Canis lupus familiaris: one gene and its partners. The protein of the gene in region 1 interacts with the protein of each later gene in a pairwise test. Links are inferred from orthologs where the notes say so. Each region holds a gene or a part of one and is shown on either strand. Other genes may lie near its edges.

What was found.
Region 2: the proteins of AKAP9 (region 1) and PKN1 interact in a two-hybrid assay, tested with the Homo sapiens proteins (2 studies listed by BioGRID). The link is inferred for Canis lupus familiaris from reciprocal best matches to the Homo sapiens genes AKAP9 and PKN1.
Region 3: the proteins of AKAP9 (region 1) and C15H1orf94 interact in binary tests that used the Homo sapiens proteins (3 or more experiments, as listed by UniProt). The two-hybrid records come from large-scale screens. The link is inferred for Canis lupus familiaris from reciprocal best matches to the Homo sapiens genes AKAP9 and C1orf94.

Annotation. Positions count from the first base shown.
Region 1 is NC_049235.1:17,677,557-17,684,939, reverse strand, and holds part of AKAP9 (A-kinase anchor protein 9), read right to left. Parts: intron 6,127-7,383; coding exon 5,907-6,126; intron 5,181-5,906; coding exon 5,030-5,180; intron 3,904-5,029; coding exon 3,235-3,903; intron 3,022-3,234; coding exon 2,813-3,021; intron 2,492-2,812; coding exon 2,386-2,491; intron 683-2,385; coding exon 500-682; intron 1-499. UniProt on the Homo sapiens protein: Scaffolding protein that assembles several protein kinases and phosphatases on the centrosome and Golgi apparatus. Required to maintain the integrity of the Golgi apparatus. Required for microtubule nucleation at the cis-side of the Golgi apparatus.
Region 2 is NC_049241.1:48,563,681-48,571,063, forward strand, and holds part of PKN1 (serine/threonine-protein kinase N1), read right to left. Parts: intron 7,174-7,383; coding exon 6,979-7,173; intron 5,340-6,978; coding exon 5,230-5,339; intron 5,131-5,229; coding exon 4,987-5,130; intron 3,177-4,986; coding exon 3,101-3,176; intron 3,004-3,100; coding exon 2,862-3,003; intron 2,772-2,861; coding exon 2,678-2,771; intron 1-2,677. UniProt on the Homo sapiens protein: PKC-related serine/threonine-protein kinase involved in various processes such as regulation of the intermediate filaments of the actin cytoskeleton, cell migration, tumor cell invasion and transcription regulation.
Region 3 is NC_049236.1:7,726,852-7,733,699, forward strand, and holds part of C15H1orf94 (uncharacterized protein C1orf94 homolog), read right to left. Parts: intron 4,128-6,848; coding exon 3,931-4,127; intron 1-3,930.

The sequences.
Region 1 (7,383 bases):
TTGTAGTTTTTAACTGGAAAAAATTTTAAATAAACTGCTAGAGTGGTTTATTAGACTGAAATAAATAATTTAATGGCATCTTTCACTTGAGTCACAAACATAATAACTGATAATTAACTGATGAGGAACAGTCAGAATTCACATTTGAACATTTCTTAACATGGACCCACTGGTGGTTCCTAGGTAGCAAAGTATCTGGCTTTGGAGATAAGCAGTTCTTGATTGGACTACAGACTTCAGTTTTCTCATGTGCAAGACTGAATGTGGATTAAAGATTCTGAATGTACAGAACCCAGGATCTGGCCCAGAGAAGGCCCCCAATAAATGATATCTATTATTATTATTATCATTATTATTGTCATCTCTCTACCATTTTTCAATGATCTTACTAAGAATCAGATATCTAATATTTTTATATTAGAGTTAAAAATTGAAACTAGAGAGTAGAAATTGTAACTCAGCAATATTTCTAACATGGTCACACTAAAATCAGACGTACATAATCTCTGCCAGCTCCTATCTGTCGATACCGCCTGATTTGTTCTTCTAGCTTCATAACTGTATTTCTCAAATCATTCTTTTCTTCTGTCAGTTGGCTGATATGTCCTGTCAGCTCAGCATTTTGTCTTAGCAGTCTTTCAGTCAACGAGCCACAAGAAGTACCAGGGGACACTAAACCAGGCTAGAAAGAGAAAATGGTACTAAGGTCGTGTAAGCACAAATGTTTATGAACAATGCACATCAACATGTGAGCAGACGCTGAGAACACCAGATTTCATGATGAAGTGGTGCTTGAACTGAGTCTTAAATAACTAGGAAGCATTTCATAGGTAGGAAAGAAGATAGGGAAGAGCATATTAAGCAGAAGGAATAGCATGTGTAAAGGCACAAGGGTTTTGTTGGAGAGTGTGTTGCTTTTCAGGAGCTACAGGTTGCTTGGTTACGTTAGAGTAAAGGCTGCCTTCACTTTATAGATAATAGACCTAAATGGAGGCAGCAGAGAGCCCTAAAGGCTTTCAGAGTGTGCTACAAACAAAATTTATGTCTTAAAATATTCCTTTGGGGGCACATGAGTGGCCCAGTCAGTTAAGCATCTGCCTTTGGGTTGGGTCATGATTCCAGAGTCCTGGGATCGAGCCTGTGTCAGGCTCCCTGCTCAGTAGAGAGTCTGCTTCTCCCTCTCCCTCTCCCTCTGCCCACCTCCTGCTCATGCTCTCTCAAATAAATAAATAAATAAAATCTTAAAAAAAATTCCTTTGCTAGCAGCATGCGAAGTACAGTAAATTAGGGAAGATAGATCCTGGTGTCAGGTGGACACATCAGGAAGTCATTACAATAGTTTAGGTGAGAAATACTGGAAGCCTGAATAAAGGCAATGACTAAGGGCACGTGGGATATTTAGGAAGTAAAAGCACAGGACTTCATTACTACTAGGATACACAAGTGAGAGTGAAGGAAGGTAGTCTAGGGTGACTTCCAAATTCCCAAAGTGGGCTCTATCAGGACCAGAAACATGGGTTGGGGACAGAAGGAGGAAAAAAAGAAGATGCTCAGTTTAGAATGTGCCTGTGAGGTTCCTAAGGGGTCACTATGAGGCGCATTTCCCCAGAGAAAGAGTTCCTGTAACTAATGGAAAATATAAATCTGGATCACAGGATAGAGGTATAGACTAGAACCACAGACCACTAGAAGATAGAGATCTAAGTGGTCAGATCGTTATCACATTTATTCATTGTAGCCCAAAACCCAGGGTAGTAACTGGCACATAACACATGCCTTATGTAAGTATTTGTTCAATAAATACGTCTACTGAGAACTCAGGCTGTGGGAATAAATGAGCTTTCACAGAGGAAAAAAAATGGATCAGGATAGGAGGAAGAGGAATTCATGAAGGTGACTGATGAAAGAAATGGAAGAAATATACTGAGAATATACGGTCACAAAATATACTGAGAATATACTGTCACAAAAGGTAAAAAAAGGAGGTTTTTAAGATGAGAGAGGTCAAAAGTATCAAATGCTACAAAAAAATTAAAAAGACAGGGAATGAAAAGATTCATCAGATTAGTTAACTATGAAGACAATGGTGGCATTCTGTGGGTGGTTTTGAGAGTGGTGAGATAAGCCAGACTTGATTATCATAATCTTGAAACTTAATTATCATAATACAATAAAATGCCACTATAGTTATTCAACAATGATAATGAAAATTAATTTCCCCTCAAATTTTCATTATTGTCTGTTAGGGAAGAACAAATATTAATATTTAAATTAAAAGACAAAATTAAAACTCTTTAGAAAATACAGTGCCAGTTTCAAATGATTCACATAGCTCCATTAAATCTTTGTTATTGATATCTTATAAAGAGTTTTTAAAAGTTTTACCTCTTCCCCTGGCTGGCCGGTTAATTTTTGCAGTTGTAAAATAATTTCATCAATATTTTCCTGAACCCAAATGAAGTCTTCATCATCTGCTGTTTCAAACTGTAGTCTTCAAGGAAAAAGACAAAAAGTCAAAACAGATCTTTCTCAATTAGTGGTGTTGACTAGCACAAACTTGACAGATCAGGTGACACTCTACTTGTTTTCTCCCTCACACTGAGTATTCTCTTTCCAGGACTTAAGGTGCTGAGATATTTGTTTATAGGTAGAGTTTTGTTAAAGAATACCATCTCCTAATGTGAACATGCAGTAACTTTACAATTTCAATGAACATTGCCCCGCTGGCTAGCTATTACTGAGGGGCAGGTTTTACCCAGCTTGTGTAGAAGAATGCCATCTCTAAGGGTCAAGAGAAAAAAAAAAATCTAACCTATTGGAGGCTTTCTGGGCCAGATGCTGTAGTTTTGAAGCCACACATTGAAGCTTTTGTCTGATCACTTCTAATTCATGATTACAGCCAGTTCCTCCTTCATTCATTTCAATCAGTTTAAGATAGCTTGATTCCTTTGTCTCTCCTTCTATTTTCTGTTGAAGAACCCAATTTCTAGTTCGATCACTAGTTAAACTCCATGTAGTTGGCTAGCAATTTTCAACAGAAAAAGAGAAAGCAGTAAGTATCAATGAACAGCGAATCAACACAATTATGGTTTATACTCCAAATAAGCTTCTATGAATCTCCTTTTTAAATCATTTGTTCATAATTATTTAAGTAATTCAATCCAATAGCAGAAGTGTATGTTCAAAGGGCTGTAGTGCTATCTCAAAAAACATTTTAATACAGTGTTAATTTACCTCATTAAGATTCTGATAGAGAATTCTTCTACTTTCTCGTTTTTCTTCTCGTTCTAGTTCTTGCTTCTGGAATTCCTGCATAATTCCCTGTAGTCGCTTTCCTTCAAGGTCTAACTTATAAACTTGTTGCCTTTTCTCTTCCAGCTGGCGCTGAAGATCTTCTACTTTGGACTGGAGCTCATGCATTTTTTTCTGTCCTTCAGTGTTGGCCTCTTGTTCTGTCTGCAATGTCTTCCTGTGAACCTGCCTATCCTTTTCCATCTGCTGTCTTGTTTGCAAAGAATCCAGTTTATATTTCTCAGTCTCATTTAACAATTCTACTATGCGACTGTGCTTCTCCTCTAGCTGTTTCTGTAGCTCTTTAAGGAGGTCCTCAGAGGGTAGGGAAGGCCGAGGCTGCCCACTATCATCACTGCTCTGCAGCTGAGCATGCAATTCCCGCTCCCTATCCAGGGTACTACTCATTTCCTGTATTCGAACTTTCTCAGATTCAAGAAGTACTTGAAGCTCTAAGTTTCGACCTCGTTCTTCTGATAACTGGGCATCATGTAGCACTCTTTGTGATTCTATTTTCTCCTGTGATTCATTTAGTAGTTGTTTCTGTTGCTCCAACAGTAGATTTAGCTGGATATTCCTTTGTTTCTGACCCTCAAGTGAAAATTTCAAATCCTTATAGGAGAAAGTTGAATTTAAGAATTTGTTAATATCATTAAAAGTCCTTTGTCAGTATAATTATACTTTATTAATATTAAGATGGTAGTATTTGGTAATAGAACTGATTATCCAGTTTATTAACTTAAATTTTCAGTGGTTAGAGCATAATTATTTGGACAGCCAGATGATTTTCATCAAAGAATATAAACAAAAGACAGGTAAGCTAAATAATACTTTCTCTCCAAATATTAATCATATTTAGTCAAGGAATATGAAGCAGTGTATATTCTTTCTAAAAACAATACCCTTTAAAAATACAAATATTTCCAATATATTGTGATATGAATTCCTGAAAAGCCTCATGTTGTCCAATGTCACACACTGAAAATAATATGGCTTATGGGGAAAGCAGGTTTAGGGACAAACTACTCAAAACTTACACAAATTTGTAATGATAAAAAACAGTAATCAGTACCCAAGGGGATATCACGTTCTTTAGGTAAAGAGCTTACTATGCTAGGAGGCTACCAAGATGGACATTCAAAAAACCCCAGCAAAACAAAAGTAATAGGGCAGAAATGTCAGCTACGTAGTTTTTTAGCATACAGCTAGTGAGTACCATGTATGGACGGAAGTGGGCACTGTATGTGCAGTACAACCTGCCCTGAGCTGTGAGCTGTGCAAAGCTAGGGTGGGCCTCTTTCGAAGACAGTTCAGAGTGACAGGACTCATTTTAAATTTTTAAAAATATGGTAGTAAGGGCTCCTGCTGCCAGAGAGGTGTCACTATTCCCTATCCCTAGGGGAAAACAGGAACTAAAACTACTCTGCATTAAACTGAAATGGATGCCCCCCCCCACCATCAAATTGTATATGCACAGAACTCAAATTCCCAAAACACACATTGTAGCAGAATAGTCTGTACATACTCCTAGATGTAGCACAGCAAAAATGCACCCCACTCTTAGCACTTCCTGTAGACAACAGAACAGTCTTTCAGAGTGGTGAACAACTTACTGACCTCATAAGGAATCTAACATGTCTAAAATCTGATGTTTTAGAAAGAGGAAAGGTCTCCAGACTCTCTCTTCCTCTGTTGTTCCGGATTTTCCACAGGCATTTAAAGAAAAAGGTAACAATACCTCAAGTTCTTCTTTATCCCGCTCTTCATTGCGTCCCAGTTTGGCTTTTTCTTTCTCCAAAGCCCACTGGAGCTCTCTGGATTTTTTCTGTTCACTTGCTAATGTGTCATTAAGCAAATGTACTTCATCAGTTTTATCTTTAACTTCCAACCTAAATCAGAGACAATGGACTTTAATAAAATTACTTTGACCAAGTTTATATTGAGAGAAAGAGACAGCTTCCACTAAACAGTGGAAGCATATTATAAACTAGCTAACAGGAAAATATAAGCCATGTACAGATTAAAGATTTTTGACTATGGTTTACTTCAAATTAACTGTTTCTAGTAATGCAACTATTAACTATTATTTATCACTGTAAATAATTTATTTTTACAAATAACATTAATAAATTTTCCTTTGTCTTTTACTGAAAATGTCTTTTACTGTATCACCATCATTCAAAATAAAGAATGACTGTCCTTGTAATGTGTTCTTGGCAAGCACAGTATCTCATTATTTACACCAACAATTTACAAGCATTTTAAAACATTTTGTACGTAGTAGGTAAATGAACCACAAATTCTATCGAGATCATAAATATCAAATTGCTTGATGGTAAAACAGAAGTCAAAATTATGTATCTTATACAATAGTAAGTCTTCAACAGAACTGAACTCACAGCAGGGAATATGCCAATGCCTAGTCATGAATTTATTATTTGGAAAAATTTAGAATTTTTCCTCACCACTGTGGTTTTTCCTATAAATAACAAAGTTTCAGGTTATTTACACATTATGTATAATGTTATGCTTTTATAAGACCTGCACAACGTCTATGACAAAATTAATCCAACTCCTTCACTGATCCAGGCTTATAATAAGGAAGCTTGACACACCTGAACGCCTCTAATTCCTTCAGGTGCTTATGTTGTGCCTTGAGTGTTGTTTCTAGTTCCAGTTTAGTTTGTGCAAGTTCACTCTTCAGTTCAGCAACCACCATTTTCTCAGAACTCAGCTGTTCCTGCAGTTCTGCTGCTCTGTCCTTAACGCTACTGAGCTCCACCTGCATCTCCAGCATCTGAGACTGCTTCTGCTGCATCGTATACTCCAAGAGTTCTAAATGGAAAAGTATGAATACTTGAATTATGACCTGGCAACTCATATTTGGTTTATAAATATTTTATTGAGAACTGATTTTTAATTTAGGAGATTACTGCAAAGCAAATGTGAAAAGATTACAGTCCCAAAGTTGGCAATATTAATACGTATCATGAATACTTTTCTCATAGTACTAATGGTCAAGATTTCAGAACTATAAATACATAAGGATGATAACAGTTTAACAGAATATATCAATACAAGATGTGAAATAAAAGAATATTCAGGTGTTTATAAGTTGTATACATAAAAGTGTGTATTTACTCATGTAGAATTTAATAGTTTATACTAAAAAATGCCAATGTTGATAGCCACACAAAGCACTTGCAAGAGTTTAGCATGTAACCACCACTAGAGTGATCAGCACGGCTTGCTGGTTTTGTTTAGTTCCCTACACACACAGTCCCTAGGAACTTTACTGTCATAGAAGTTTAGATTAGTTTATTCTTTAAGCGCCAACCAAAGCCCTGCTACAGGTCTGTTACAATGAAAACAAATGAAAATATTTAAACTTCTAAGTACAATAAATGAAAAAAAACGTTACGAAATATGCATTAGGATCTCATTTTTGCAAAAAACATAAATTGTATATTACAGTATTAACAAAGGTCTGCAGATAGATGTATTTACCTGGGTGAGGGTGATTTTTCCTCTATTTTTTTGTTTTTCCATTCTACCTTAATGTATTTCCAACCGAAAAATTTTTTATCAAAGTTCATTGCTTTATATTACAATTCATATTACTGATGTTAAGAGGCAGGAATAACATTGGTTTTAGAAAATAGTCAATCTAGTTTTAAGCTTTTGATTTTTTTTAGATTTATTTATTTATTTTAGAGAGAGAGAGAGAGCACAAACATAAAGGGCAGAGGGAGAAGGAGAGAGAATCCCAAGCAGATTGCCCTGAGTGCAGAATCTGACATGGTGCTCGATCTCAGGACCTTGAAATCACAACCTGAGTTGAAACCAAGAGATGGATGCATAGCTGACTTTGCCACTCAGGTGCCCCTATTAGTTTAAGCTTTTAAAACTATTTCTTAGAAGAAGCTAAGGATCTACAAATATAAATATGTACTTACATATTAAGTTTTCCATGGGGTTCTATTTAACTTAAATAATAATAAAGTAAAATAATACTAATCAATTCTCTAAAAATAATCTTATATTTATAGATTTGTGATCTGATGAAAATGAGACTGTACTTTAATTCCTACT
Region 2 (7,383 bases), on another chromosome or scaffold:
CACTTCTCCTTCCACTTGCCCTCTTGCTCACTGCCCTCCAGGCACGCTATCCCTCCCCCCACGCCCTGAACACACCAAGCACGTTTCCAGCCCAGGGCCTTTGCATAGGCTATTCCCTCTACCTGGAATCCCCCCACCCCGACATCTGCACGGCTCCTCCCTTACCTCCTTCAGGCCATTCATGCAGATGTCGCCTTCACAGGTGGTCAGCTGACCATCATATTAAGTAACTAACGGACCCCCCACTCCCTGCCATACCCACACATACTCCCTGTCCCCTTTCACTGCTTTTTTTTTCATGCTATATTTTACCATTTACCTACATATTTCCTTTATGGGTATTTGCCCTAAAAGCTACTTAATTCTTTATACCACATGGGCATGTAACTTTGAAAAGAGTCAAAATTCATATTGTAAATGGAAGAGGGTGGGGGGGACTGGGTGGCTCAGTCAGTTAAGTGTCCAACTCTTGGTTTCGGCTCAGGTTGTGATCTCAGGGATGTGAGATCGCCCTGTATCCAGCTCCGCGCCCAGAAGGGAGTCTCCTCTCTCTCCCTCCCCCTTCCTCTGCACCCCCCCCCCAGTAAATAAATAAAATTTTAGAAAAAAATACATGGTGAATGGGAACATATTACGACTGGTTCATCATCATCTACTACAGACACAGTTCTAGAAATGCAATCAGTACAAGTAGGTGGCTGGTGGGAAAGACAGGCCTCTCGTGCCCCAGCCACCCTCCCCAGAACCAGCCACCATCAATGATTTCCTGAGTACCTTTCTAAACATATTCTATACCCACACAAGTAAAAGTGATGGGAGAGGCTCCATTTCACTTGTTTCCGCTATTGACAATATTCTAATCTTGCCTCCCCTACTGGACAACCTGTTATGGAAACCACTCTGTCCCAGCACTGGGAGACCAGCTTCATTTGTCACAGCCCACCTCGTCATTTACTTAGCACTGGCTCTCCTATGGATGGACGTTGCCGTTTCCACTTTTGCCCACACAAAGCCGCTGCAGTGAACTTTCTGGATGCGCACATGTGTGAGCGTCCAGGATTGGAACTCCTGGGTCAAGACGATGTCCATTTTTAGGGCAACCAGCTATGCCCTCCTAAGGAGATGCAACAATCTACATGCCTGTCTCCCTGTGCCCTGCCTGGCATTTGATGGTATTAAACTTTTGGATTTTGTTTTGCCAAACTCACCTGATGACCTATCTCATTATATTATTGTAAATAAAATACAGAAGCATATACTATCATTTTTTTAAAGATTTTTATTTATTTATTCATGAGAGACACAGAGAGAGGCAGAGATATAGACACAGGGAGAAACAGGCTCCCCTCAGGGAGCCCAATGTGGGACTCGATCCCCAGACTTGGGATCATGCCTTGAGCTGAAGGCAGATGCCCAGCTGCTGAGACACCCAGGCTTCCCCCCTGCTTCTTTTTTCCTATTTTTTCAAATGAGGTATAAAATGCATAAAATGTGAGCTGGGCCAAGGGGCCTGCTCTTATAAACATGTCCATCTGGGTATGCATTGCACGCAGCGGGGGTGGGTAAATGAGGTTTGGTACAGTACGTGAGCCGAGAATAGCTTTTACATTTTTAAGGGATTGGGGGGAAAAATCAAAAGGAGAGTAATATTTTGTGATCTGAGAAAGTGATAGGACATTCCAAGTTCAGTGGAGATCCCTGGGTGGCTCAGTGGTTTGGCACCTGCCTTCACTTCAGCCCAGGGCGTGATCCTGGAATCCCGGGATTCAATCCCACATCACGCTCCCTGCATGGAGCCTGCTTCTCCCTCTGCCTCTCCCTCTCTCACTGCATCTCTCATGAATAAATAAATAAAATCTTTAAAAAATAAATAAATAAAGTTCAGTGTCCATCCATAAAGCTTTAACCAGAACACAGCCATGCCCACTGGTGTATGTATGTATCCCCTACAGCTTTTTTCTACAATGATCTCAGGGATGTGAGATCGCCCTGTATCCAGGGCGTTGAGTCACTGTGACCAAAACAGTCTGGCCCACAAAGCCGAAAATATCGGCTCCATGACCCTTTATGGAAAAGGCGTGCTGATCTCTGACCTACATTAAGAGGCACAACATAAGGACACCTAGGTGGCTCAGTGGTTGAGCGTCTGCCTTTGGCTCAGGGCATGATCCTGGTGTCCTGGGATTGAGTCCTGCACCGGGCTCCCCACAGGGAGCCTGCTTCTCCCTCTGCCTATGTCTCTGCCTCTTTGTGTGGGTCTCTCATGAATAAATAAAATATTTAAAAATAAATAAATAAATAAATAAGAGGCACAACATGGCCATGACCCCAACAGGCTCCCTCGTATCTCCCTCCTATCAATGATACCCCCCCACCCCACCCCGAGAAAACCACCATCCTGACTTCTATCCTCGAAGTGAGTTTTACACATGCTTGTTTTACAGGCCAGTGCACAGAGCACAGCAAGTTGAAGCAGCTTGCCGTGGGTCACACTGCAGGAACATGGACCCAGGTGGCCTGGCTCCTGAGATCATGTTTTTATTCAGGATAGAGAATGCGACCACCTGCTTCTAGCAGAGATATGGGACCCAGGGAAATTCCTGGTGGTGTCTGGGTCTTGAGTGGGTAGAGAAGCCTGGAAGATCCAGGTGTGGGGGGAAAGGAGTGGAACACTCACCAGGCTTGATGGGCTGGAAGGAGGACCCAGAGGACTCTTCTGGGGTAAGCTATCCAAGGCAGTCCCAAGGTTCAGCTTCTCCACAGATATATCACTGCAGACCAAGAGAGGAGGGTGTGTGTGGGACCAAGCACCCCGGCATGCAACCAGGGACAGCCTAGACTTCAGAGAGCATCCTCCTTACCCTGTGGAGCGGACCTCGGGGCCTGGAGAAGCCCCAGGGCTGAAGGTGCTTGTGGCCGTGGCATTGGGGATGAGCCTTCGAAGCAGCCGCACCCAGGTGGCAACATCAATGTTCATCTGCCTAGCGCGCTGAAATGCTTTCCCTGGGGGAGGGGTGGAGGGGGGTACAGGGGATGGGGGTCACCCTTCATGATACTCCTGGGACCCCTGGCTTCTTCCCTACCTTGACCACTACCTCACCTTGCTGCTTGGAGAAAATTTTCTTCTGCCTTCGGAGCCGGGGTATCCTCTCAATGACAGGGTTGCGGAAGGTAACCTGGAGAGAAGGGCCAGTGGATAAGAACTCACTCCCAGCTCTAGGTGGTGGGGAAGCCCTGAGAGCGTAGATAGGCACACCCTTATGTTTTGCGGGTTCCAATTATTGTGGCTCCACATCCAAACAGAGTATGAAGATGTTGTAACTTATTAAGGGGTTAGAAAACCAATCCAGTGCCTGGTAGGGCCACCTCCTGAAGTGCCATCTTAGAAAGTCAAGAAGCAGGCAACCAAGACCTCCTCTAGGGGTGGGGTGGGGGGTCCTGACCCAACAAGAGGTACATGCAACTCCAGCAAGGTCCTACATCATTTAGGGTCATGATTCCCCAAGTGGGGCCCTGGACCAGCAGCAGCACCTGGGGCCTTGCCAGAAATGCAGATACCCAGGCCCCTGCCTGGACACACGGAGTCAGAAATACAAGTGTGGGGTTCAGCAACCTGTGTTTCAACAAGCCCTCCAGCTGGTATGGGGAAGCCACTAGTCTAGCTGCATTCTCCCAACTCCGAAGCATCTTCTAGAAGGCGCCAAAGTCACAGAACTGTGTGACTTTATGTGTGTCTGATACGCTCGCCACTAGCCACGTAAGGCTATTTAAATTCAGTAAAATTTTAAGTAACATGAAAACTTTAGTTCCCTGTCCCTGGTCACACTAGCCATGCTCTAAGTGGCTGGCGGCTGCTATGTTGGACGGTGGACATATACAACATTCCCATCTACAACAGAATGCAACTATTGTAGGCTCATCGACAACAGAACTCTAGAAAGTTCTATTGACTGGCACTCTGGGGGAGGCGGAAAAATAGAACAGAATGCTACAAGTGAACGTTGAGGGCCAGCAGGCTTGCCTCAGAATTTGCCCCCTTCCCCTACCACCCCCACCATTCCTGCTTGGTACTGGCCGGTCTTCCTAATGGAAGAGCAATGTCACTGCCCTGCCCGGCCCTTCTGCTCTTTTTCTTCAGTGGGGCTCGATTATGAGATCATGTCAGAACTCCCACATGGAGATGTGGATATGTAACAGGGCACACGTATGTGTTAGGGGCACACTTAAAGAATTTTTGAGGAAAATTTTGACTGAATGAGGGGGCCAATGGCTTTCCTACTCTGTGCCTCTGTTTCCTCCCCCGTCAGAGGTGACTAATGACGATCCCTCCTGAATCGATCCCTCCTGATTCGGGTTGGGTGGAAGTGGGTCATTGTAAGGATTAACAAGTTAATGCCAGCAAAGCAAGTAGGACAGGGCTTGGCTCACACCACAAGGGATCAGCTAGGAATGTTATTTAGAACATGGGCTCTCAACCAGGGGACAGGGCAATGTCTAGAGACCGTTTTGATTGTCACAACTTGGAGGGAGGGTGGTGCTGGCTCCCTCTGGGTGCAAACTGGGGATGCTGCTCAGCACCCTACAGGACAACCAAGAATGATCCAGCCCACTATGGCACACTTGTCTCTAGTGCCAAATGCAGGACACCTCAATTTAGACTTTAATCCTAACACCACTGTAGAAGGAATTTCTCTCTACTCGACTGTGGCTCTGACAGCAATCTCCTTGATGTGCCACCAGGTTTTTCTTTTCTTTTTTGGCTTGGTGAAATTTTGCAATTTCTTTTCTTTTCTTTTCTTTTTTCTTAATTTCTTCCCTTAAAACAAAACCAATCCCAGCTTAAGTTGTGTCACTGAAGTAACTAATTATATGTATTTCTCTATCAAGGTTCAGAGACCAATCCAACACATATATCTTCCCTTTCTAGAAAACCGCGAGTAGGCAGATGCAAGAAGTATTTTCATAGGGTCAGGGGTCGGGCTGTACCTCGGCCACCAGGCAGCCCTGGGGCTCCATGTCCAGCTGCACCTCATGCCTCTCATTGTCCAAGAAATCCTCCAACTTCAGGAATTTGAGGGCACAAAGGCCCCGTTGGTCCCGCCAGAACACGGCCAACTCCAGTTCCCGAGCCTGGAGGGAGAGGAACGGGTGCCATCATTTGGCACTGCCCAAGGAGGATTTGGATCCTCCTCCTGGATCCAGGCCCTGCCATCCCCCAACTTAGCTCACCCTTTCCAGCTCCAGGGTGAAGCTCTGGTCCCAGGCGCTGGGGCCACATGGCTTCCAGGATGTCTGCCCCACCACCGTGTTATCCAGCTTGAGCACCGTGCTAACCTCGCCTGGAATGAGGGGTGGAGGAGGATGTCGGGAAATGTTTGGAGTTGGGGGGAGGCATCTTGGCCCATATCTTAGTAAAGAAATCCTCCCTTCCACCCATCACATTCTGCTACGCTACCCTCACAAAGCTTTCACATCAAGGCGTTTAATCAACTTCCAGTTGATTTCTGTGTATGATGTGAGGTAGAGATCCAAATTCACTTTCGCTTTATATGCAACTTCTAGCAATATACTCCTAAGAACTTACCCTGGAAAAATGCATGCAGGTATAATGGGGAGATGCATATATACATATATATCCATATATGCGTATATAAGGGACCCAAACTAGAAATATCTATAAATAGAATATATAAGCTATAACATAGCCTTATTAACTGATATTCAACAATTACTATATTTTACTTTAAAAGGCCCCCACAATTGATATGGCTCAGTCTAATAGTCTAATGGGCTATTAAACAGGAGTTAAAAAAATATAAAAATAAATAAACAGGAGTTAAAATAAATGAATGGACTATAGCTTCATGCAACGACATGGATAAACTTCCCAAACTATGTTAAATGGAAGAAGCCATTACCATGGAATACATTCTGTATGATTCCACGTATGTAAAGTTCAAACACCAGGCAAAATTAAACTCTGTTGTTTTGAGATGTGTACATTGATGCTAAAACTACGAAGAAAAGCAGGGAAATGATAACAATGCGTCAGGGGAGTAGCTACCTCTGGACAGGGAAAGGGACTAGAAAGGGGAGGAGGGGCAAGGGGGTTTCTAGAGAGTTCTATTTCTTGACCTGGGTGGTGGTAACGTGGGTGTTTGTTCCATTGTTATTCCTCTTTTATACATACTTTTTCCTATACATCAGATTTTTTAAAAAGTGGTAAAATTCATATAACATAAAATTTATCACTGTAATCGTTTTCAAGTTTACAGTTCACACTGTTGTACAACTACACCACCATCCATGTCCAGAACTTTTTTCATCTTCCTCAACTGAAACTGTCCCCATTAAACAAAAGTTCTCTTCTCCCCTCCAACCCAACTACTGGCAACCATCCTTCTTCCATTTCTATGAATTAGACTACTCTAGGTACCTTATAGAAGTGGAATAATACAGTCCTTGTCTTTTTGTGACCGGCTTATTTCCTTTAGGGTGATGTCCTCAGCTTCATCTGTGGGGTAGCCTGTGTCAGAACGCCCTTCCTTTTTAAGGTTGAATACTACCTACTCCACCGCACACACATACCACATTTGGTTTAGCCATTTGTCTGTCAATGGACACTTGTGTTGCTGCTACATTTTGGCCATTGTGAATAATGCTGCTATGGACATGAGTGTCCAACTATCAACTTGAGTCCCTTCTTTAAACTCTTTTGTATATACACTCAGAAGTGGGACTACTGATCACATAGTAATTCCATGTTTAGTTTTTTCACAGTGGCTGAAGGACTTTATGTTCCCAACAGCACTGCAGAGGATTCTAATTTCTCTACTATCTCCCTAACACTTTTTTTTTTTTTCTTAACAGAATCCATCCTAATGACTGTAATGTATCAGTTTTTTAAAGTGTTACAAGTGTGTGACACCCTAAGATCCCCACTGCATCTCACTCCTCCAGGCCTTAGTGCCCACTCACTGGTGTTCTCAGCTTCCACTTTGAGGCTGCTCCGGCCACTGAGGCTTCCACTGCGGCTGTAAAGGCCCCGGGCTGGGCGGCTCAGGAAGGTGGTACGGCTGTCAGGGGTCCCAGGCACCCCTGCCGCGGGTGAGGAGCTCCAGGGGATGGTCTCTGGAAGGTCCTTGCAGCCTACCACACGTACCTCCAGAGTTCCTGAGGGAGGGGCAGGCTCAGGGGGACCCACATCTGGGCCAGGCCAAAAGGTGGGGACTGCAGGTGAAGTGGACATGTCCAGATGTGGCCAGCATACAATCAGGGTGGAACAGGAGATCTGATACTGGGATGGCTGTGCCCAAGTGAGAAATACGTGACAAGGGGGAGGGGGGAGACTGGGGTGGGCCACACTGGGAAGGGGCTCTGAAT
Region 3 (6,848 bases), on another chromosome or scaffold:
GACTGCCTCCTTGGGCCCAGCGCTGTCCCCATCTCCAGGACCGCACAACAGGGGGCCTGTCTGCACCTGAGCACCTCGCCAGCCCTTCGACCTGCCCGGGAAGACACGTGTGTCCCCCAGGGGGTCCCCAGCATCACGGGACTCAGGGTCGGGTCCCAGGGTGAGCCCCAGAGTCTGCACGGTCCCGGGGCTGCCTGTCCCCTTATGGGTGCTAAGCTGAACCCGTTTCCCTATTTTAGCACCTGAGCCCAAGCACCCTGACCCCTGCCAGGCCCCCCAGGGAAGGCATTTGAGAGGCGCACCTTCCCGCGGGGAAAGATGACACCTGCCCACCCCCACTCTGCCTGGGCTCCAGGGCTGCTCACGCCTCATGGGGGCCCCAACGGCAGCTCCCCCGTGACTCGGCCTGACCTTGCCCCATGGGACCAGCTACTCGCACGGCCCTACAGCAATTTCGTCCTGTCCCGTCCACAGGGGAGCCGGGCTCCGTACACACCGCAGCAGGGCACCCGGCCACACGGAGTCTGACCCCGGGGTTCTCGGGCCTTCCTGCGGCTGGTGCTCAGAGCAGGAGACAATCGCGAATTAATGAAAGAAAAAAGAAAAAAAAGGGGGGGGGGGGGGAGAGAGGGTGAGGGAGGGAAGAAGCGATGGGAACAAACCGGCGCCCTGAGGGGCTGGGGCAAGCTGGGCTTCGGGTTAGTTTGATTCGCTTTTCACTAAGTAAATCCCAAGAGAGCGGGGACGATATCCGCCTGGTGTGCAGCCCAGGACCTGGCACGAGGAGGGGCCTCTGCTGGCGCCCCCCTCCTCACCCCCAGCCCTTCCTCCCTCTGCCCCAAACTCACACTCAAAGGAACTGATGGAGACTCAGGTCGGGCCAGGACGCCCCGGATTCTGTGCTGGTTTATGAAACAAAAACTGGAACCCGCACCTCAGCCTAATAACCATCGGTAATGAATCACTGGGGACACGCCTGACCGCTGATGCCACGTCCCCGCGCAGCCAGGCCACCCGGCGGGGGGGTGGGGGATGCTCTGGGGGGCTCACCTGCCCGGGGCCTGGTCTGCACACGACACTCGCCAGAGTGTCAGAGGGAGCCGGGGGTCCTGGGGGCGAGGGGCATCAGGGAAGGCTTCCTGGAGGAAGAGCACCAGCGCCCTGGCCTGGGGCATGGTTGCCGGCAGCAGCCTCCCCGCTGGCACTGCCTGTGCCACTAGGACCTGTGCTCCTTTCACCCTCGAGCTTGTTATGTGTGGGAGGTAAGGGCATGGTAATGGATGGGGCAGGGAGGGGGGAAGGTGAGTGGGAAGGGAGGGGGTGAGGGGGCGGGGGAGAGGCAAGGGAGGGAAGAGGACAGGAGGAGCGGGGGGGGGGGGGGGGGGGGGGGGGGAGCAGAGGAGGAGGGGGAGGGGTGGGAGAGGAGGAGCTGGAGGGAGTGGGGGAGGAGGGAATAGGGGGGCAAAGGGGGTATGGAAGCGGGGGTAGGGGGTGTTGGACCATGACAAAGAGCCAAGAGCTCACAGAGAGAGGCCAGGAGGGGTAGGGGGGCCGCCTCATCCCCGGAGCCCTGCTCCTCCCACCGGCCTCTCCCCTGCCCCTGCCCGTCCCCCAGCCACGCCATCCCCGACGCCCTCATCCCCCGTCCCCCCAATGGCCTCGAGTGGTTCCCCCAGCCCTGCTCCCCCCACATCCTCCAGGAAATGCCTCCTCCTCTGCCCCCCATGCCCCGCCCCCCTACAGCAGCCCAGCGGGGTAGGCCTGCACCCCTGCCTGAGCCCCGCTCCTGGTGCAGACTCGGTGCAGGCCACCTCACCCCCACCCGGGGAAGTTTCACCAGCTCCCCAGGGCCTGACCCGACGCCTGGCCGTGCCCCCCAGGCCCTGCTGCCCCTGCTCCCGCGGCCACTCCCCCTCCTCCCCCCCCCAGGGCTCCGGCTGCAGGCCCACCTCCCACCTCGGGGCCACTACCCCGACGCACAGCTCCCCTATGTACCTGTCGCTTCATTCAGACCCAGCTCCGGAGGTGGCCCTCCCTCATTCTCCGTCCTCCCCCGGCCCCTGCCTTCCTTTCCTGCTGCCTTATTGCTCCCCGTGAAGGAGACCAAGAAGGCCTTTTGCCTCGCTCCTTCCTTCCCTCCAGGAAGCGCTGCCCACGACCAGTCATGCTCTTGGGGGAGCATGCGGCCTGCGCCGCGCCCCTTCCCTGGCGTCCCCAGCCCCTTCGGCCACCGCCCACCCTGCCGACTATGCCTCCCCCATGGCACCATCCTCCAGCGCCCAGCATCTCTGCCCGCAGCCAGGGCCCGGGTGGGGGCCCTCCTCCCCTCCTTCCCCGCGGTGGTGCTTTTTTTTTTTTTTTTTTAAATTTTTATTTATTAAATTTTTATTTATTTATGATAGTCACACAGAGAGAGAGGATGGGGGAGAGAGAGAGAGAGAGGCAGAGACATAGGCAGAGGGAGAAGCAGGCTCCATGCACCGGGAGCCCGACGTGAGATTCGATCCCAGGTTTCCAGGATCGCGCCCTGGGCCAAAGGCAGGCGCTAAACCGCTGCGCCACCCAGGGTGCACCAGGCTGCAGGCCCCGGGCCTCCCAGTCAGAGCGTTTAACACCCAAACCCAACCTCCCTTTCTAATCCTATTTTCCACCTTTTTAGGGGTAAATCAAATACTTCAAGCACACACCTCTGCTGCCCCAGCCTCATGCTTGTGTCCATCCGTGTGAGGGCTGCACCCCCCTGTGAGGGCTGCACCCCCCTCCCCTCCTCCCACGGCTGCTCCCTGGGGCCTCGCAGGTCCACCCCCCCCCCCAAACAGCGGGTCATGCCACCGCCCCGGGCCCCGGGGTGCTCCCCACATCTCAGCCACTCAGTCTCTGAAGGGAGGAACCTCGTCCTAGTCCGCTGTGGGTTCCCTGCAGGCTACATCCCCATCAACCACAGGACCCGACACAGAGCTTGGGGGGCAGGGGGTGCAGATGACATGCACCCTCGTCTGCGGTAGGAGAAGCAGAAAAGATGGGGAGGGAGGAAGGAGGGAGGAAAAAGAGAAAAGGAGAAAGAAAATGGGCTGTGGATTTGGGGCTCAGGTGAGGCCACCGACCCCACCCCAGGAACATTTCCCAGACACTTCAGCAATGAAGCCATCTGAGGGCCCCGATGGGTAAGAAACCCATTCACCTGTGTTTCCCTCAGCTCTTCCCAAGCATCCTGACCACAGAAACCTCTCGCTAACGTATCGTCCTTTTACAAGACGCAGGACTGAGAGGGTGAGGGTCTGGGGGTGCCTGGGGGGCACCACAGCGGGGGTCTGTGCGGGGACGTGGAAGGCTGGGGACCAACGGCCCTAATCCCGGCAGCGGAGTTTCCCAAGATTAGACACGCCTCCCCAGGGTGTGTGGGGACTGGGGTCCCCAGGGGGACCCCAGGTCCCGCCCTCCTCCCGGCCTCAAATATGAGCTGAAGGTTTGCAGGTGCGAGTGGGCGACCGCCGGCCTTTCATTTAGGACAACAGCCGTCGTGGAAAGTGTGTGTCGAGGTTTGCATCACCCGCGAAGCCCTGCCCCCGCTGCTGGGCCTGCTACACCCTCCGCAGGATGTGGGGGCGACTGGCCTGCGAGGGAGCTCAGGGTCCCCCGCGACGCAGGGAGCCCAGCAAACGGGCCTCGGGGCCTCAGCAGATGGGTCCTGCTCCACTGCCGGCCCCGCTGCAGGCCGAGTGCCCACGTCCACGGCCGCGTGGCTAGGATCCCCTGGGCCCGTGGCCCTGAGCAGCCTGGCCTGCGCACCAGCTCCCTCCGGCACCCATGGCTGGGGACAGGCCAGGGCCCCTCCCTCCCCAGGACCCTGCAACGCGAGAACCAGCTCCCCTCCCGGCCCTGTAGCTTCCCGCGAGCGAGGTGCACCCGAGGAGGGGGCTGAGGACTCACCCGTACGCCTGGGGGACCACGTACTGTGGCCCGTCTCCCGCCATCGGGGAAGGGTCGCGGGGATGGCTGCACAGCTTTGGAGGTGTCCTCTGAGGGTGCGGGTAGCCGGGCTGGACGAAGGGGATGTAGCTCAGCAGGGGGGCGTAGGAAGAGCGGAACACCTGCTGTCCCACCTGCTGTGGGCTGTACGGCGTCACCTGCAGGTCACAGACGAGAGGGGCCGCGTCCACCAGAGCCCGCTGCTTCCGAACCTCCGGGGCCTCGCTCGGACCCCCCAGCCTTAACCCCGGAGCGGCGGGCGTGCGGGAGGCCCTGCGAGGACTGTGGCGAAGCCCGAGCCTCCCCCCTGCGCCTGGCTGCCAAGGTGCCCAGGTCACCCGGGCCTCAGTTTCCCCGTTGGCAGGAGGGCGAACGCTCCCTCCGCGGCACGGACACCGAGTTGGCCGACAGCAGCCTGATGAACAGCAAATGGACTTTATTTCCGTTCTCTGCGCTGCCCTCCCCACCCCATCCCCTGCCAATAGCTGCCCCTGAGAGCCCTCATTCATTTTTACCTAAAAAAAAAAAAAAAAAAAAAAAGGTCTGTTGAGATTTCTACAGCCCCGGCTTCGACCCAGCCCCCCGGTACTTGGGCCACCACCCACCAGCGGAGACTTGCGGCCACTTGAGCTGCGGCTGCCGCAAAGGGCGAGGAGCTGAAGGTGCACGCTCACGGTAACCGGTGTGGGTTGAGGTGGCCGCCTGGGGCCAGCGGCAGCGTCGTACAGCGGGATCCAGGCTCCATAGAGCTCAGCCCCCGCCCCCCGCCCCCCGGATCCGACCTCCACCAAGAGCCGGGGCCCCGGCGGTCTCATCGAGCGTCGTCTTCTCGGCCCTGGGACGGGGCTGGGCCAAATAAGCTGCTCCATAAACATGCGTTAAATGAAGGAGCACGAGAAAAAAGGAGGGGAGAGGGCAAAGAAGAGGCCACTCAGGGTCCGCTTGAATCCCTGCAATGATGGGGAGCTCGTTACTTTGCAGGCACTGTATTCTACAAACGTCAGAAGACCCTCTCCTGTACGGGGTGACATCCGTCCTCCCGCACGCTGAAGGGAGCTGCAGTCAAAGCGAGGGAAACTTCTGGACGTCGTCTTTAAAAGCAAGAGTCCGGTGTCCAAGCCGCCCGGGGACCCAGCACAGTGACAGCCCTCTCTCACCCTGCGGATCCTTCTCTAATTTAAAAAAAAAAAAAAAAAAAAAAAAGATCGCAAAGGCTGGGGCTTCTGGAGGGCTCAGGCCGTGCCAGGCCCGTGCGGCTTCTCTCCTTCCAGCCCCGGAGCTTGGGCGGCGGGAGCACGAGCCAGAGACGGAGGAGGCGGCTCAGGAGCTCGGACCTTGCAGGTAAGCGCTCCACGGGCTCCATGGGCTCCACGGGCGTGACTTGCAGTCGGACCCCTAAGGCCCACGCGGGCCCGGGGCCCGTGCGATTGCTCCCGCTGAGCCCCCTCCTACCCCAGGCTGCAGGTAGGACTCGCGGATGCTGGACGTGGGCCCCCAAACGCCCAAGATGACGCGCGGACCATGACAAAGAGCCAAGAGCTCACAGAGAGAGGCCAGGACGGGCCCCCCCCGGGGACGGGTGCCTTGGCGGACGGGCAGGGAGGCCCCCCCGGGTCTCCTGGGAGGTGGGATGGTCCGAGGACCGCGCAGGGGGATGCCCGGGGGCTCCCGCGGGCATCCTGGGGGACGTGTCCCCAACCGCACACAGCGGGTGAACCCCGTGATGCAGCATGCACGGCTCTGGAATCGTCTCCAGGATGCGCTTCGCCGGCAACGGCAGTGACAGAGCCACATGCCCGGAAAGCTACATTCGTGTAAAGTGTGTGTAGATAGATTCGGCCGGAAGGACCCTGCGGGAACCGGCGACAGAGCCGCCTCTCCAGGGTGGTTTGTCTCTGTTTGGAACCAAGGGCCTCCAGCGCTTTCTCAGACAGACGCGGGCACTTGCATGGGGCCGTCGGGCCCCCCTCTCCCCGAGCCGGGGTCACTCTCTGTGGGCCGGGTAGGGGTGACTGCTGAGGCTCCCAGGGCCAGGCTGGGCCTCAGCTCCGCACTCCCCGAGGACGCAGAGCCCTCACTGCGACACGAGCAGCCCCGGGCCTCCGGGCTCTTCTCTGCTTTCTGGAACATTCCAACACAGCTCAGGTCAGAGGTGCGGTTTGCTCCCTGCCGGGCAGGAGGAGGCCCCCAGACGGTGAGTCTGAGTGTGGGGGTCTGTCCACCCGCGGTGGAGCCACGCTGGCTGGGGCCCTGCAGCCGGACCCGAGGCCGAGGCCGCCCCCATCCTGCAGTTTCCGTGCTGGAGTCCACTCCTGGACGTGGGGGGGGTGGGGCACTCGGCCGAGCAGCCCACAGACAAGACGCGCGTGCGATCAAGTCTCAGTTGCAGATGAACCAGCCAGTAATTTGATTTTTACTGCGCTTCCGGCCCGGGCGCTGCTTGGGGCCCACATGCACCGGGACTGCCTCCACGGCCTGCCTGTGACTTCGGTGTGACCAGACGGCTTGTATTTGAAAAACACACTGACGGGAAAGGGGGTGACTCTGCAGCTGGCCGCAGCTGGGCCACACCGTGCGGCTTTCCTGGGCCACGGAAGGCGGGTGCGGGTTGCCAGGCGCTAGCACCAAGCCCAGGCCCCAGCAGCAGGGGCTCTGCTCCCCCCCCCCACTCCTGTCTACATGGCAGGAGCAACAGCTGCCATGGGTCCAGCAAGCTCCCCAAGGGGGAGCACATGACACAGCCTCGAACCCAATCCCAGCCCAGCGCAACCAGCCCAGGGAGCTGTGGCTGAAAGCCTCTCATTTATTGTTGGAAGTCCCTGAGATGCCGAGGCCGCCGGTGGCCACCGCACAAGCTGGCTCCTACGGTGACTCGGTGA